Linked DNA regions of Drosophila melanogaster. Changing the gene in region 3 together with the main gene of any one other region gives a genetic interaction. Each region holds a gene or a part of one and is shown on either strand. Other genes may lie near its edges.

What was found. Genes that interact genetically often act in the same process or in processes that back each other up.
Region 1: of pnut (region 3) and sina, changing one enhances a phenotype caused by changing the other (phenotypic enhancement), as found in Drosophila melanogaster (2 studies listed by BioGRID).
Region 2: of pnut (region 3) and yki, changing one enhances a phenotype caused by changing the other (phenotypic enhancement), as found in Drosophila melanogaster (one study listed by BioGRID).

What each region holds. Positions count from the first base shown.
Region 1 is NT_037436.4:16,852,225-16,859,250, forward strand, and holds sina (seven in absentia), read left to right. Parts: upstream 1-1,526; 5' UTR 1,527-2,301; intron 2,302-3,694; exon of another isoform or gene 3,695-3,760; intron 3,761-4,072; 5' UTR 4,073-4,193; coding exon 4,194-5,138; 3' UTR 5,139-6,488; downstream 6,489-7,026. Other genes in the region: Rh4 (rhodopsin 4), read right to left, coding at 468-1,015. UniProt on the Drosophila melanogaster protein: E3 ubiquitin-protein ligase that is required for specification of R7 photoreceptor cell fate in the eye by mediating the ubiquitination and subsequent proteasomal degradation of Tramtrack (ttk).
Region 2 is NT_033778.4:24,065,437-24,070,176, reverse strand, and holds yki (yorkie), read left to right. Parts: upstream 1-1,691; 5' UTR 1,692-1,861; coding exon 1,862-2,712; intron 2,713-2,922; coding exon 2,923-3,014; intron 3,015-3,460; coding exon 3,461-3,616; intron 3,617-3,863; coding exon 3,864-3,916; intron 3,917-3,999; coding exon 4,000-4,104; 3' UTR 4,105-4,202; downstream 4,203-4,740. Other genes in the region: Gpat4 (Glycerol-3-phosphate acyltransferase 4), read right to left, coding at 1-177, 235-438, 843-977. UniProt on the Drosophila melanogaster protein: Transcriptional coactivator which is the critical downstream regulatory target in the Hippo/SWH (Sav/Wts/Hpo) signaling pathway that plays a pivotal role in organ size control and tumor suppression by restricting proliferation and promoting apoptosis.
Region 3 is NT_033778.4:8,235,351-8,240,832, forward strand, and holds pnut (peanut), read left to right. Parts: upstream 1-1,920; 5' UTR 1,921-2,706; coding exon 2,707-4,326; 3' UTR 4,327-4,947; downstream 4,948-5,482. UniProt on the Drosophila melanogaster protein: Involved in cytokinesis and possibly cellularization. Also acts as an enhancer of the sina gene, thus having a role in photoreceptor development. May be involved in p53-dependent apoptosis.

The DNA.
Region 1 (7,026 bases), on a different chromosome or scaffold from region 3:
CAGGGTCATGGAATTTATTTCCTGGTGGGTCACCTTCATTTTGTTTAACAAATGCCAACAGATTTCACAATGGGTATCTTAAAGATATTACCCAAAAACCGAATAAATACATAACTGACTATTTTGAAAAAAAAACTCGATTTTATGATTTTATTAGGAATGAAGAGGCTCCAAATAACTGTGTAAATGTGTTTAGGATTTGAGTTGAATTTGTTATTTAATTTTTAAGTGTAAGTGTAGAAATAGTAACAAAATAATGACATCAAAGAACCGAATTTCAAATAAAAAACGGGACTCATTTTCTACTTCGTTTGCAATAAGTTACTATTTATTTATTTCAAACTCAAGAATGTCACACTACAAATTATAAAATTAATGTTATACAGTTTCGTTGTCGGCATTTTATACTTTTTCCTTGGCTTTCATGTTACATGGTCAGTTGTCTTAGAGTAGAGTTGTCCTTGGTTCTATGCAGCGGTAGTCTGTTGCTGCTCCTGGGTGGTCGTGGACTGCGCCGAAGAGATCTCCCCAGACTTTTCGTTGACTCCCAGCCAGGGACAGCGCTTCTGCAGCTCCAAGCGGTATCTGGGGTGACTTATGGCATAGACGAATGGGTCTATGCACGCCACCAGTTTGCAGGTGCAGGCCGGGATCATCGTGGCTCCTGGTGTAAGCAGACTCTTATCCCCGAATGCCCCGATCAGCGACATTACGCCGTAGGGCGTCCACGACACGAAGAACAGGAAGCAGATGGTGATAGCCGCCTTCGCAATCCGTATCTCCGCCGTCTCCTTGCTCTTGTCCACATTGGAGCGCAGCGACTCCACGTTCATTTTCTTGGCCTGCTCCCGTAGGGCCTTTTCGTGGCTGAAGACATGGCCCACGATCTGCGAGTAGTAGTAAAGGATCATCAGCGTGGGACACACGAAGCTGAAAAAGAAGATGGTGCCCACAAACAACCGGGTGTCAAAGTTGTCCGAAAGATAGTCGAAGGAGCAGGACGTGAGGTAGCCCTCTGGAAATGCATAAAAGTGAAGAAGATTAATGGGATTTTTGGTATTAGGATATTTATTTACTTCATATTCGTAAAACGCAATTTTACTCTTTCGTAAATTTGTTTCTTCGAATTTCCCGATCCAAACTAAGTTCTTAAACATTCCCGCCAATGATGTGACACAAGGTCAAGGTATCACCAATCAATATTTTTATTTAATTTTTTGTATTGCCTATATTATTTGATTGGAAATACTATAAATCATAAAAAAGTATTTATTAATGAATTATTTTAAAAATTAGGCTTTAGTTGTCAATAAGAGTAACAGACTACATTATTAACTTTGATCCTTTAAAAATTATGCGCCTGATTCGATTTGTATTATTTCAAAACTGATGTTTTCCTGTTATTAAATTAATTTGACAAACGTGGCAAGGCTGTTAAGTAATCGATGACAGCAATTGATAGCTACCAGGAGGCACTGCGATGTTGCCGATTGCGTGTAATCGACTATCTGGAATCGAATAGACGACAATTGGGGTTCCATCTCTGCAACCGACGCGGACATTAGAAGAAACTCAGTATAGTAAAGTAAATTAATTAATTAACCAGCTAAAGGCAGACATCACGCCCAAAGTACATGGAGAATGCCGAAAAAGACTGAATTCCACACCGCGCAAGGGCAAGTGCAATAAACGCCGACTGCGACGATCAAAGAACGCAATATAGAAAAAGTGAGACACACGAAAAAAACCCATTTCGCTGCCTGTGTGTAAATGCAAATGGTTTATTTTTGTGCAGCAACAACAACAACACAACATCAGCAGCAGCAGCAACACAGAGGCAGAAAAGGCGAAAATAACTAGTAAAGCTAAATATGAATAAATGTGTATGTGTGCGGGTCGCGTTAAAGAAAATTAGATAAAAAGCCAAATGAAATTAGCTCACGCCTGAATTTCGAGTTTCGGTTCGGTGCAAGGTGAACGAAAAGGCGAAAAGCAATCAAAACAGTTTTTCCATTTTCCCAGTGTGCGTGTGCAGTAGCAAAACCACCTGCATTGGTTATATATATATATGCGGTTAAAAAAATAACAAATTGCAACGTAAAAAACGGAACTTGCACCTAGGATATATACACACACATGCTGGCTGTATGCGTGTGTGTGTGTGCATGGCCGTAAAGGCTGACTGACTGATAAAAAAGGAAACAAAAAAATAACAAGAAAATAAAATATACACATACACACACACACCAACGCAGCGGGGCACCAATACCTCGGCACAATTTCTTGGAGGCAGCCTGCCATGTAAGTTTACATATCAACGATTATGTATTTCGCAGTTGTTGTTGCTGTTTAAACAGCAGCCTAGTCGCACTTAATGGCGGCATAAATTAAAGAAAGATAGTCGCATTTCGCTTTGCTCCGCAACTTACGTTTTCTATTTTACCATTTTGCAACTCATGAAAGCAGAAGCTAAGTTAATTATATTCATGGCTATGACTTTTGTGGCAATTACCATTTTTACCCCGTATGAACGTTTCCAACGGTACGCAACGTAAACGAACTGTTAATTATGTGTGTGCGATCTGTGTCTGTGTTGTAAGTGTGTGAGTTTCCCTCCCCGCGGCTGCCATCCCCTACCGCCACCCACCCCCTACACATCCTCGTTGCATTTGTTACGTTACGCACTCTTCATTACGATATTACGTTTATGCGGGCGATGGTACGAATTTCATAATGGCAAATGTTCAAATAATTTTTCCAATATATAGGGTAAAGTATTAAACATTTGTATGTTCATGCGTTTCATGTGTTTTTGTTTTGGGTTAATAAGGAAACATATTATTTATTTTTTAGGTTTGAGTTTGTTTTCGAATATAAACAATATTACTGAACTCCTTTCACACAAAATTTTGATAGCAATCATATAGCAAATATATTCCCGTTAGGAAAGAGAACAAGTTTTGTTTGTACATCAAAGCTAAACAATTACGAAAACTTTATATTATTATATTGATATTTATCTTATAAACGCACCAAAGCACCCACAGCATATTGTTCACACTAATGTGTGCCCATTCTGTCCAAAGTGGACAAACCCGTGAAACCGAACCACACCCATTACAACCAGCACGACACCCACCATCGCACAATCCCGCCATGGGTCGACGTCCCTAATGGCCGTCCATCAGCGTCGGCTCCGTCAGCTCCGCCTGATAAGAGCCAACATATTTGCGCCGTTCCACACGTGCCGCCAAGAGGCTTTTGGGCTTGGGCTCGGAGTTGGAATCGGAATCGGGCCTTCATTTCGATCGGAGACGTGACGGCGACCTCGGGCTGTGTCTTTGCTTTTCGCAGACCAACTCCGGTTCGATACGTTCCGCTTTAAGTAATTGCTTAAATGCAATTCCCATACACGCAAATGCGTGTGTTTTCTTTTTTCGGTAATTACAACAATTGGGAATCCACGGCAAGGTTAAGGCCAGGAATGATAAATCGCTTTGGCTTTTCTATTGGGCGGCACGAAAAACGAACTACCTAGTAGTAGTGATTACGCGAAATAAGTTTTAAATTAATAAGGCTCAAATTAAATTATTACAAATGGATAGTAGTTTTGCTGGGCAACATTTTTTATAGCAATCGAGTAGATTTTGCTTACACAGTTTGCATTCATTTCATTTCTATTACTTCATGGAAAAATATTTTTGCCTATTACTCATGTCCCAGTGGGCACAATAGTTTGGAATGAACATTCAAATCAATAGTATGCTCCGAACTTAAGCCGCAAAATCGATAGAAAGCTCATAACATATGTTCAAATTTAAACCAGCATTTATGCAGTGTGTTATACTGTGATTTTTTTTGTTGGTTGATATATGTTATTTTTGGATTAACTAAGCCTAATCGAAACAAACTATTTTTGTTAAGATATCTGTATGGTTTTGTAGGTTATTGTTTTTTGGAGTTTCTTATCACTGAACGAACAAAATTACAAAAAAAAGAAAAAAAAATTATACATATGCTATGACTAAATTGACCGCATTACTCACTGACCTGTGATTGTATCTCATTTTAGACAGAAGCACAAGAAAGCCATTGCCGAAGCCACCGGGAGGGCGAAGAACCTGAACCTGGCGAGAATTGCAGGGACCCAGAAGAATTGTAGACACATTCGTGCCGTTGCGAGAACCCTTCCAATGTCCAATAAAATCAACCCGAAGCGCCGCGAACCGACAGCAGCAGCAGCAGGAGCCGGTGCCACGGGAGTGGCCACCAACACGAGCACCTCGACCGGATCCTCCAGTGCCGGCAACACGTCCTCGGCCAACACATCCTCGTCGTCCAGCTCCTCGCTGTCGTCCGCCGGTGGCGGTGATGCGGGCATGTCCGCCGACTTGACCTCGCTGTTTGAATGCCCCGTGTGCTTTGACTATGTGCTACCGCCGATCCTGCAGTGCTCCAGCGGGCACCTGGTGTGCGTGTCCTGTCGCTCCAAGCTCACCTGCTGCCCCACCTGCCGCGGTCCGCTGGCGAATATCCGCAACCTGGCGATGGAGAAGGTTGCCTCGAACGTCAAGTTCCCGTGCAAGCACTCCGGCTACGGATGCACCGCCTCGCTGGTTTACACGGAAAAGACAGAACACGAGGAGACGTGCGAGTGCCGGCCCTACCTGTGTCCGTGCCCGGGCGCCAGCTGTAAGTGGCAGGGCCCGCTTGACCTAGTCATGCAGCATCTGATGATGTCGCACAAGAGCATCACAACGCTGCAGGGCGAGGACATCGTGTTCCTGGCCACCGACATCAACCTGCCCGGCGCCGTCGATTGGGTAATGATGCAGTCCTGCTTCGGCCACCATTTTATGCTCGTGCTGGAGAAGCAGGAGAAGTACGACGGACACCAGCAGTTCTTTGCCATCGTTCAGCTGATCGGGTCGCGCAAGGAAGCGGAGAACTTTGTCTATCGCCTGGAGTTGAACGGAAACCGACGCCGGCTCACCTGGGAGGCAATGCCGCGTTCGATCCACGAGGGCGTCGCTTCCGCAATTCACAACTCGGACTGCCTGGTGTTCGACACGTCGATTGCGCAATTGTTCGCCGACAATGGCAACCTGGGCATTAACGTGACCATATCTCTGGTCTAAACGCACTGTCAATTCGTCGGGTTCTTTCATTTCTTGTGTTTACTATTCCGATACAAATACATATATAGTTTATAGCCCTCTGTTCGCATCAGGCGTCTAACTCGTGGACAGATTGTGAGTCTGGAGATTAAGAAGAAAGAGTTTTGCAGAGTTGTTTTATAAAAATGATTCTCTATTCTAAGAGCCACTTACATGCATATGTATATATATCTATGGAAATATCAGGCTGCTTCGATTATCACATTCGGCACGATATCGCAGTTTTCTTTGATTTTTAAGCTAAGACACTCACAATTTTCCAAAGCGAAATGGAAAGCGTATTAAAGCAATTGCTAAGTGATGTTCAGTGTTTATTGCACACGTTCGTTAAACCTGTAAAACCGCGTTTAAAATTCGTATTTTCATTTTTAGTTTGCACATGACTGTGTGTAAATCTCACTCGTTTGCAGAAAAATGCCAAATATTTTTGGTGAGATTTCGCAGATTTGTATAACACACTTTCCTGTCGAATGCGAAAATCGTGGCTGACCTGTATGTTTGTATGTTTAATCGGTTCGATTGGTACTCTAGTTCTAGGACATGATTTTTCAGTTACCGCACACACAATACTATATATTTCAAAGTTTCAGTGTTACCCGTTTTGTTAGTTCATGGGGTTCTGCTTTAGTTTAATTTAGTTCGTAAGGTCCACACACCTGGAGCAGAGCTGCCTGCGCGTGCCCACGTGCCCACCACCTACTACAGTGAACGCTAGGAACACACAGACCCACTCACCAAAACGAGGAGAACAGCAAGAAAGGCGAGGAGGTCACTCATCCACTCGAACATGTACTGCAAAGTCTAGTTTAGTTAATGTAAATTATTTTATACAATACTTGTAAATGGTAATAAGTAAAACGAACAGTTTAACGAAATTAACAAACCTAATAACCCACAAAGAAAAGTAATATTTGATAGCGATAATCTGTAATAACTCGAGAGTTGTTTGAAAGTTGCAGCCTAAACGAAACTGCGACCCGCAATTTTGTTCATGCCAAACCATCACAAAATAACAAAAACACACTAAAAAAAAAAGAAAACATTTTTTTTCGCAATGCTAAAAAGACAGTTGCCCCTTCCCATTTCCCCCCAAGTCCCCCCAAACATATAAAGCAATGTTAATGTTTAAATTTCTATCTAGTTAAGACGATCTCCCCGGTTTGGCTCATGTTTTGGTTTTGATTTCCATTCGGCCAACGTTTCCCAATCGAAAACGGAAGAAAAATTAATGATTTTAAGCATCTGCACCGTAATTAGCTTTTAATGCGCCGATTTACCGCGCCACTACCATATGAGATCACTCACACAGACACAAAACTACAAAACTGAAATAAACATGATTAGTAAAAGTAAACAATGCTCGTTAATTATTGAAATTAATCTGGGGGAAGCTGAATTACAAAGAAGAGCTACGCCACTTTATAAACTTGTCGATTTAAATCAGTTATCTGTTTAATTTGGATTATCTTTGAGATACTTGGGTTACTTCTAATGCGTTTTAAAACGTTGCAATAATAGATGGCACAAGTTTTTAGTGGTGCACCGCCGAAGCATCTTAAAGATTTAGCTGGATTGGTATCTTACTAGGATACTTAGGCCAATTTCAAAAATAAATTTTTAAGCTGATTTTAAAATGATTTAAAGCAAGTAGGCTCCGAAGTAAAAGTAGCTCATTATACTTTTAGCTTCGTTGTATTGTGGTACAGATTGTATTTTCGAATTCTTTTAAGCAAAATTTCAGTGTTCAGAAAAAGTAAAAAAAAAGTAAAACCATCGGCACTCTCATTCTTCAGAATCGTTTGGTTGTTAGGTCTTAGGATTAATAGCTTGCGCATTGATTGTTGGCTGA
Region 2 (4,740 bases), about 16 Mb from region 3:
CCAGATGGAGGTGATTTTCCAGGAAATGAACTCGTAGTGCCTATTGGTGCGTGTCAGCATGTTCCAGCTCTTGAGCTCCTCCGCCTCGAAGCGCGACGTAACATCGTCCTCGATGATGGCCTCCACGCCAGACTTTACGTAGTCCAGGCATTTCTCAAAATCGAAATTGATTTCATCCTGCAAATGGGAAATGTTGTTTAAATCAGGTGCCCATTGCAATGCCGGACTCCTTACCTTTGTGGAGGAAACTGGCTTCTCTGGAGCGGGCTCCTGTGGCTGGGGCAGGAGTACCGCGTCCCTGGTAATCAATGTGGCTCCATTGGTGCCTTCTTTGGAATCGGCGTCGTCCACTAGTTGCACTCCCTGTTTGTCGTCAGTCTTGGGATTTTGAATGTGTTGGTTTTCTTTGGATGCTGTCTCTATACTAACTCGACCATACTGAAAGTAGAGGTGATTAGTTGTTAACGAGTCGAATCGGGGATTATCTGCAGATAAGATTATCGCAAGCATATCGTCGGACGAGGTAATGACTGGCACTTTACAAGTGTCTGGGAAGCGGCAACTTGGGTGCACTGGCGCACTCCTGCCCCGCAGATTCCTTGAGGATAGCCGAAGAATCTACTTAAAGCTTCCGGGCAAGCAATAGTTTCTCGAACTCGCCTGCATTGCAGTAATTGCGTAGGGCAGACGTAGTATGGCGTACTCCAAAAGCTGACTATATTTATGGACTTTGGAATAGCTTAACTATTGGTAAGACAGCACCATTTGCAAAGCCACCGCAGCAGTGGAGCACCTCAAATCGGTGCTTACTCATCTGAGGAACGAAAGCAAGCAATATTTACCTCGAATATCCTTAGGAGGAGGTTCACGTACGCTTTTCGGACGCCGATTGATTTGTTTATGGCGGAAATAAATATGAGAAATGAGAGGAAGCCCCCGATGGGGATCCAGAATATGTCCAACAGCACGGCGATCATTTTACATTTGTGTCATGCGACATTAGTTATTGTTAAGCGAAAAATGCCTCCGAATTGTGTCGTGCCAATATATACAATGTTAAAATACTTTTTGCTGTAGACCGAACTAGCGATGGACCTTGACTGTGTCAAAAACCTGTCTCGTGCTCACAGACCTGGCCCGCGCTCATCTCTACGGGGAACAAACGGAAAGGGGACGATTCCGGTCGGGCAGGAGACGGAACGGCTTCTTGTTCCACTGCCAATCGTTTTGAAAAGGGTTGAATGAACGTGCACTGAAAACAAAAAGGCACATTTACATTCAGATTATATTGTTATTGGGTATGTGTTTTTGACAGACCTTTACCTGCACTTATTACTTAAATCAACAAGGCACATTTACAATCAGTTTATATTGTTATTGGGTGTGTTTTTGACAGACCTTTGCCTGTACTTATTTTCACTAAACAAAATGTTATAAACCAATAAATAATAATTGTTAGTCTAATAATTTATAGTCTGATATTATGGAACACAAGTGTGTGGGCTATACACACACCATAATTTAATATCTACTTTGTTTTGTGCCTTATTAATTACAAAATATAGAATAAATCTTTAGCTATAGCTAAAGGAAATCGACAAAAGTCGTAATCGGCTTGCGGAATACCCCTGGCATTCCGCAGGTGCAGCCACGAAGCCGATTACATGAGGAACGCTAGTATCGGAATGGACAAGTGGACGGGGATAGCCATCTGGCAACACTGGGATAAATTTATTTTATGTTGGCAGTTCCGTAATTATTATTATTACTATTATTTATTGCAACGAAGTTTAGTTTTTAACACCTTAATGTTATAGTTTCGCGCAGCGCGATGGAGTGATACGTATATGGAAGAACATATATGTGCGCGTGCCTAATCGCTAAGATAATTCTATGTAGTTTTCGTTTGTATACAATAAGTGCCTTTTATATGTTAACGACGATGTCAGCCAGCAGCAATACAAACAGCCTGATCGAGAAGGAGATCGACGACGAGGACATGCTTTCGCCGATCAAGTCCAACAACCTGGTGGTGCGGGTCAACCAGGACACGGACGACAACCTGCAGGCGCTATTCGACAGCGTCCTGAATCCGGGTGACGCCAAGCGCCCGCTGCAGCTGCCCCTGCGCATGCGGAAGCTGCCCAACTCCTTCTTCACGCCCCCGGCGCCCTCGCACTCGCGGGCCAACAGCGCCGACTCCACCTACGACGCGGGCTCCCAGTCGAGCATCAACATCGGGAACAAGGCGTCCATCGTCCAGCAGCCAGATGGCCAGTCGCCCATCGCCGCCATCCCCCAGCTCCAGATTCAGCCGTCTCCCCAGCACAGCCGCCTGGCGATACATCACTCCCGAGCCCGCAGCAGCCCCGCCTCGCTGCAGCAGAACTACAATGTGCGCGCCCGGAGCGACGCAGCAGCAGCCAACAATCCGAATGCCAATCCGAGCAGCCAACAGCAGCCCGCTGGGCCCACTTTCCCAGAGAACAGTGCCCAAGAGTTCCCCAGCGGCGCCCCGGCCAGCTCGGCCATTGATCTGGACGCCATGAACACCTGCATGTCGCAGGACATTCCCATGTCCATGCAGACAGTGCACAAGAAGCAGCGCTCCTACGACGTCATCAGCCCCATTCAGTTGAACCGCCAACTAGGCGCCTTGCCGCCGGGATGGGAGCAAGCCAAGACCAATGATGGCCAGATCTACTACTTGAAGTGAGTTTGGGCAGATTTTAAAAATGATATGCATGAAGCTTTATTTAATACGTGTCTTCTTTATGAACTTATGAAAACTAAAATATTCTTGTGAGTCACAGAAATCTCATTGGCTTCGTTGGATGTCTTTCAAGTTTATCTCTTAATCATTACTAGCTCAACTAATACCCAAAACAGCAATCTCAACAATGGTGTTCTCTCTACTTGCAGTCATACTACAAAATCTACGCAGTGGGAGGATCCCAGAATCCAATATCGCCAGCAGCAGCAAATCTTGATGGCCGAGCGAATAAAGCAGAATGGTAGGTTCTATCTTAGATGTAATGCCTTAGATAAGCAAGTCGTTAACTGCCTGTGGCTGCGTCTCATTGTTAACCCACTTAAATCAGCCATCAGAGGACTAATTAATGCTAGAGACCAGGCAGGGATAAGATAGGCTCTAACTCATTCCAACTAACGCATGAACAGCACAGTACACAACCGATTTCAGGGAGTCCATTCCGTCCATTTTGAGCGCGCCAATGCACTTTTCGGGATTGGGTTGGAGTCTGATCATTTTGGCATTCGGAAGTGGGAGCTCGATTGGATTTGCTTTGAGCATACTCCAATTGATTTTGATATGTGCTGCATGCTGGGCGCCAGTGCCCCTCCGTTCTCATCCGCTTACACACTGCAGCATTACGTTGAAGACATATTTTAATTTGTTTTTATTTACTTTGGTTTGTAATTCATTGTTTTTGTTCGATAGATGTTTTGCAAACTACAAAACAAACTACCACATCGACCATTGCTAACAATTTGGGTCCACTGCCGGATGGTTGGGAGCAGGCAGTTACCGAGTCCGGAGATCTTTACTTTATAAATCACATTGATCGAACGACTTCATGGAATGATCCCAGAATGCGTAAGTCTCGTTCCACCACCCCGACTAGCGTAAGACAACGAGACACACAGATATCGTAGCGATATCGCTAGATAACATTGAGTGCGCAGTGGGCGGGGGGCCGATCACGTAATTCCCATGGCATCTCTGCTTTCACTATATAGTATAGTACTGATCTTGAGATAGAGGCCGAACACTCCACACTCCTTATCGCTCCATGCCTCGCCTTTACTAACTTAACGCCTTCCCTTACCGTGTATCTTTGCAGAATCTGGGCTTAGCGTGCTCGACTGCCCAGATAACTTAGTGTCTTCCCTCCAGGTAAGCATTCGCAGTTGCCGACCGCCGAGTTGGCGAACCGAGTTCCACGCCACTACCTCACTTTGCCCACTTTACGCTTTCAGATTGAGGATAATCTTTGCAGTAACTTGTTCAATGACGCACAGGCCATTGTAAATCCGCCGTCTTCCCACAAACCTGACGATTTGGAATGGTATAAAATTAATTAATTCAATGTATACATCTGTATTAGACCTAAAAGTTTTATATTTTGTATTATTCTAAATTAAATATTTTTCAAATTTTATAGTATTTCTTTACATAAACGAATTTGTGTGTTTATCATTATTACTGGGCGCCTTGTTTCTGGGTTTTAAAGCTTCCGACGATCAGTGAACGCACTGATTGAAAAGAAGATATCTGATTCAGATGACTTTCGAACGCCGAAGAGAGAGTTCAGGTGGATGAAAGGTGTGGTCAGCAGCGATGACTCATGCCGAAACCCGAATACCCCGACTATTGTAAAGTGCAAGCCAAGTAACCAAGTAACCAGAATGCGGCGTGCATTTGGACCAGAATGCACGCGATTCATGAGCTTCATTGAGTTCGATCTGTGACCGACCCAGCAGATTCAGCTTTACGTGGAGCCAAAGACATCCATGCTCATCGGTGTCATTCGCTTGCGAATCTGTTCGCGTTCGCTCTTTATCAATGCTTACCCATGAGTCACTTTTGCAAATATTCTTCTAATTTAGCATGAATTACTTATTTTCGTGATGTCAAGCTAGTCATCGTTTGAATTCTTTCAACAGCTTTCATAGATGATAAGAGTTGGACTTGGGTTTTTCACCACAGCTTTGTTTCAA
Region 3 (5,482 bases):
TTACAATTTTCATGTTATTGTCAGAAGTTTTTTTTAAATCTAATGGAACGTTTTAAGCTGATATCTATTCCATATGCTATTGGACTTCAGGAACACTTTCACATTTATTGGGCGTACCCTAAATAACTAGCACACATGATGGGCTGGGTCGAATCCATATCATTGATTCCATTGATTGGTGACCCATGCCAGCTGATGTAACGGTCACTTGGTGGATCAGCTGCTCCTAAGCCAACATTTGCACTAAACTGTCCTTGCTCTCGTGCCAAGAATTGGCACAGCTGCCGACTCCATTCTCCCGGCTGCATCCCCCGCCACTTCTTCGAGCCACGAGAACAATGGACTTGGCCCGGACAATGGTCGGCGCTAAGAAATAGTGACTTTTCAGGGGCGCACGGGTTTTCCTCTGGCTTCTAGCGGGCCCTAATTGCTGGCAAGCATCTTACATAATATTGAAGAAGATGCGTCTCCGAATGGATTTCGTATGGAGTGTGCCTGATGCGAAACAGCTGCTCAAGATCTCAAAACTATGAACACGAGGAAGGGTTGCGGGGAGATTAGGTGGGATTTGTTCGCTGTAAAGATTTGCGGTTGCAGTTGCGGTGGCACATTTCAAGACCTAACATCTGTCGTAAAAAACATCTAGTTTCGAAGCCCCCAGCCAAAAATGAAATGTATTTAGCATTGATGAATACGATAATAGAAAATCAACTTTTTAGTGCTATAAAAAAGTAGTGCTATAAAAAAGTACGAAAGTACATACGCGTATGTTTTTAATCGTTAAAGATGCACCCAAAAAAGCAATATAAAATTAGTTTAAGGAAGCTAAAGTAAATATACATATAAATAGACTTAATGAATAAAATCGACTTTCTCCTTATATTTTGGGTTAATCAAATGGTTTCGGATGGTCATAAATGTTAAATGTATTAATAAAGCTTAAAATAAAGTTTGATAAAGAATGAAAAAGAATTCATTAAATAACTTTTTAGAACAAAAAATATGTATTGAGATCATAAAATGCAATCGACAATCAAATTAGTAAGAATAACAAGAAACAAGGGGATCTCTAGCCACAAAATTCCACAGAACTTCCCTCGATTTACCTTTTCCCTTGACGACAACAACTGTAAATCCTCCAATAAGTACAGTCATCCCCTAGGGTAAAAATCGAGCCACCGCGAGTCATATCAATTCATAAATGCATATTAATTCCGATAGAGGCTAAAATTAAAACAGGAGTCGCTTTGGAATAATGTGAGAAAAAAACTTTCTCACGATCACCTTGTTGTCGCGCAGACGGCGTTTGGTGGAAATCCACGTGCAAAAGGGGGAAGTTCGGAAGCAAGGAAGGCTGGATGGTAGGAAGGAAGGAAACCACCACCACCAAGCAGGCGGAGTAGGACGCAGGACCCTCTTAATGGTGGTGGTTAGTACCTCCCTCTCCCCCTCCCCCTCTACCAGTGACGATCGCCAGAAGTGCATGAGAATTTAAATTACAAACAAACCGAAACGCAGAGCGCACAATCAACGGGCTTTGTCCGTGTGCGTGTATGCATCGGCATGCGATGACGCGTAGAGGGTGGGGTAGAGAGGGTGCCAGGACGAGGCGTGTGTGGGAACTTTCGACGAGGACACTCGAGCATGAAGCGGGTCAAACGACAGAGGCCAGTTATTATCCAGCTCCTTTTTATGGCACTTCTCACACGCCCACAAGGGGCGTTAGTTAGCTCACTAACCTCTTTCCAAACAGAGTCGAATGGAATTATAGCAAGTGTGAGAGAGAAGCGAAAGTCGAGTTCTCAGCGTCACAATAACAACACCCACGCGACAGAAGCATCTTTAGTTCTCAGCGAGAGAGATAAGCTCAGCTTCCTCTTCTTCTTTCTCTGCTCCTTCTGCTGCTCTCACGGGCATGCGCAACATTGCAACAAAAATTAAAGGGAACCCGTAACCACAAAAGTCATGGGCGTAGTGAACAATTTTATTTAAAAACCCGTTATGGTGTACCATAGAAATTAATTCCCTATAAAAATGGACAAACATAAACTGAAAATGTTTTAAAATAAATATAGTTCGATATGTAGTCAAAAAACCCCTCAGTAATCCACCCCTGCTTAAGGCAAAAGTCAAAGTCATCTAGACGGATAATTTCTTCCTGTGCATCAGCGGGCGATTGTAATGCGATCCGTGGCCACTCCAGTGCAGTCATTCAGGCCAGAAATCTGGAATCCCAAGTGCTGGGACACATGAATGCGTTTCATTGCCTATTTTTAAACATAACATTCCATTTCAAGTGATAAGGCCACCAGAAAATAGTTCTCTTTGCCCGTTTGCATGTGCATTGCTGCGGCAGTATGGGTGCGTGTATCTCTGTGTGTATGTGTCGCATTACTCATGCGCTCTCACTCCAAGCGTCGTTTGGTATATTCGCGGCTCTCGTCCGGTATTTTCCAGGGTCACACTGCGCCTGAGCTGGGGCGTTGTTGTTGCCTGCGAGAGCGGAGCAGAAGTATTTATCGCGTTGCAGCGCACGGTCCTACTGACACAGAAAATGCAAGAAAAGTAAGAGCGTAAAAGAGCTGGCGTAGGCGTGACAAAAGCGGTGAAAAAGCAACGGTTCTGTGCAAGCAAAGTGAATAAATACAGTGAAGCCCACCTGCGAACGAATATCGAAGGCTCAAAGGCGAATTTGGCGCTATTCCAATGAATAGTCCTCGCTCGAACGCGGTTAATGGCGGCAGCGGCGGCGCCATCTCCGCTCTGCCCAGCACTCTGGCCCAACTGGCTCTGCGCGACAAGCAGCAGGCTGCGTCGGCATCGGCGTCCTCTGCCACGAACGGCAGCAGCGGCAGCGAGTCCTTGGTGGGCGTCGGTGGACGACCGCCCAATCAGCCGCCCAGTGTGCCAGTGGCCGCCAGTGGCAAGCTGGACACCAGCGGCGGAGGCGCCTCCAACGGCGACTCGAACAAACTGACCCACGATCTGCAGGAGAAGGAGCACCAGCAGGCGCAGAAGCCACAGAAGCCACCGCTCCCGGTGCGCCAGAAGCCCATGGAGATCGCCGGCTATGTGGGCTTCGCCAACCTGCCCAATCAGGTCTATCGCAAGGCCGTCAAGCGGGGATTCGAGTTCACTCTGATGGTGGTGGGCGCCAGTGGGCTGGGCAAGTCGACGCTGATCAACTCCATGTTCCTGTCGGACATCTACAACGCGGAACAGTATCCGGGCCCCTCGCTGCGCAAAAAGAAGACCGTGGCCGTGGAGGCCACCAAAGTAATGCTCAAGGAGAACGGCGTCAATCTGACACTCACGGTGGTGGACACACCCGGATTCGGTGATGCCGTTGACAACAGCAACTGCTGGGTGCCCATACTGGAGTACGTGGATAGCAAGTACGAGGAGTACCTGACAGCCGAGTCGCGGGTGTACCGAAAAACCATTTCGGACAGCCGGGTGCACTGCTGCCTCTACTTCATAGCGCCATCGGGACACGGACTCCTGCCGCTGGACATTGCCTGCATGCAGAGCCTGTCGGACAAGGTAAATCTGGTGCCGGTGATCGCCAAGGCGGACACCATGACGCCCGACGAGGTGCATCTATTTAAGAAGCAGATCCTTAACGAGATCGCCCAGCACAAGATCAAGATCTACGACTTCCCCGCCACGCTGGAGGATGCGGCCGAGGAGGCCAAAACCACGCAGAATTTGCGCAGCCGAGTGCCATTCGCGGTGGTGGGTGCCAACACCATCATCGAGCAGGACGGAAAGAAGGTCCGGGGTAGGCGTTATCCCTGGGGCCTGGTGGAGGTGGAGAACCTGACGCATTGCGACTTTATAGCGCTGCGCAACATGGTCATACGCACGCACCTTCAGGACCTCAAGGACGTGACGAACAACGTCCACTACGAGAACTACCGCTGCCGGAAGCTATCCGAGCTGGGATTGGTGGACGGCAAGGCCAGGCTGTCCAACAAGAACCCACTCACCCAGATGGAGGAGGAAAAGCGGGAGCACGAGCAGAAGATGAAGAAGATGGAGGCCGAGATGGAGCAGGTGTTTGACATGAAGGTCAAGGAGAAGATGCAGAAGCTCAGGGACTCGGAGCTGGAGCTGGCGCGGCGCCACGAGGAGCGCAAGAAGGCGCTGGAGCTGCAGATCCGGGAGCTGGAGGAGAAGAGACGCGAGTTCGAGCGCGAGAAGAAGGAGTGGGAGGATGTCAACCACGTGACGCTCGAGGAGCTCAAGCGACGCAGCCTGGGGGCCAACAGCAGCACGGACAATGTGGATGGCAAGAAGGAGAAGAAAAAGAAGGGTCTGTTCTAAGTCAACACGCTCAAAACCCCCATTCCCCAAACCCCCTTCCGCTCCTCGTATACTTAAGCGCTAATCTCGAGAACAAAGCAAATGAAAACCCTAGCGTATCCTACTCTTATTCCTACCACATAAAGTAATTCGAAAAGTGCATAAATATATCTATTGTTGGGCCCAGCCGCCCCACAAGGCTTCTATTCGCACAGCAATCGTCCAGCGACGGCGTTGCATTTGTTTTCTACATACTATACAAGTACATATAACACATAGCAGTTGCAGTATTTTACCAATATATATCCACGCATTACTTGACGAAACACATTTGCTAGCCTAATGAATTGAACACGCAAACGAATTAAATCGAGACAGTAACAAACGGTATTTGCAAAATACTTAAGTATCTTAAAGCCTAATCATAATAAAAACTAAGCAGAATGTACGAGTGCGAGGCGAAATTGATCCTAAAATTAATTATAACGAATAACGAATCCATGTATAACGTATGCTATTGATATTGTAATTGTATTTTACCTATTATGCATAAAGTCATTGAACACCCGAACACACACCAGCAAGGCAAAAGCCGCAAGCGCAGCAGAAAACATCAAGAAACAAAATATACTCTTGCATTTTATAAAATAAAGTCTTCTCCTTAGTTTAACTACATAAAAGCTGAAAAGCATTCCATATTAAATTCGTTGTTTACTCAACTGCAGCGGAACGGGTCCGCTTGGCACACGTCTGGGTATGATAGGCATGACGATGGATATGGCGATTTGGATATGACGATTACATTCTCAATATCTTAGTTAACCATGAGCTAATGGATGAGTCATTCCGCAGGAGCATTGACTGGGAACGTGGCTCGAGTCAAGCGGATAGGTAAATCACTCGCCGCAAACAATTAAAAGTGTTTACCTCTCACACTGCTATGTATGTATGTATGTATGTGTGATGCTTATTGGACCAGTGAAAACTAACGCGAACCGTTGGTGCCACCTAAAAGTATCATGCTTTTCGTTTCCTAAGAAATACCCTTTATGCAGTTCTTGCCCATATGTGCGACTCAAGCAATTACGAAAAGCCTGACACTCCCTATAAGTCAGTACATGTACATATACAATCTTTCGCCTTATGCGGCCACAATTTAGGTCAGAATAATAGATAT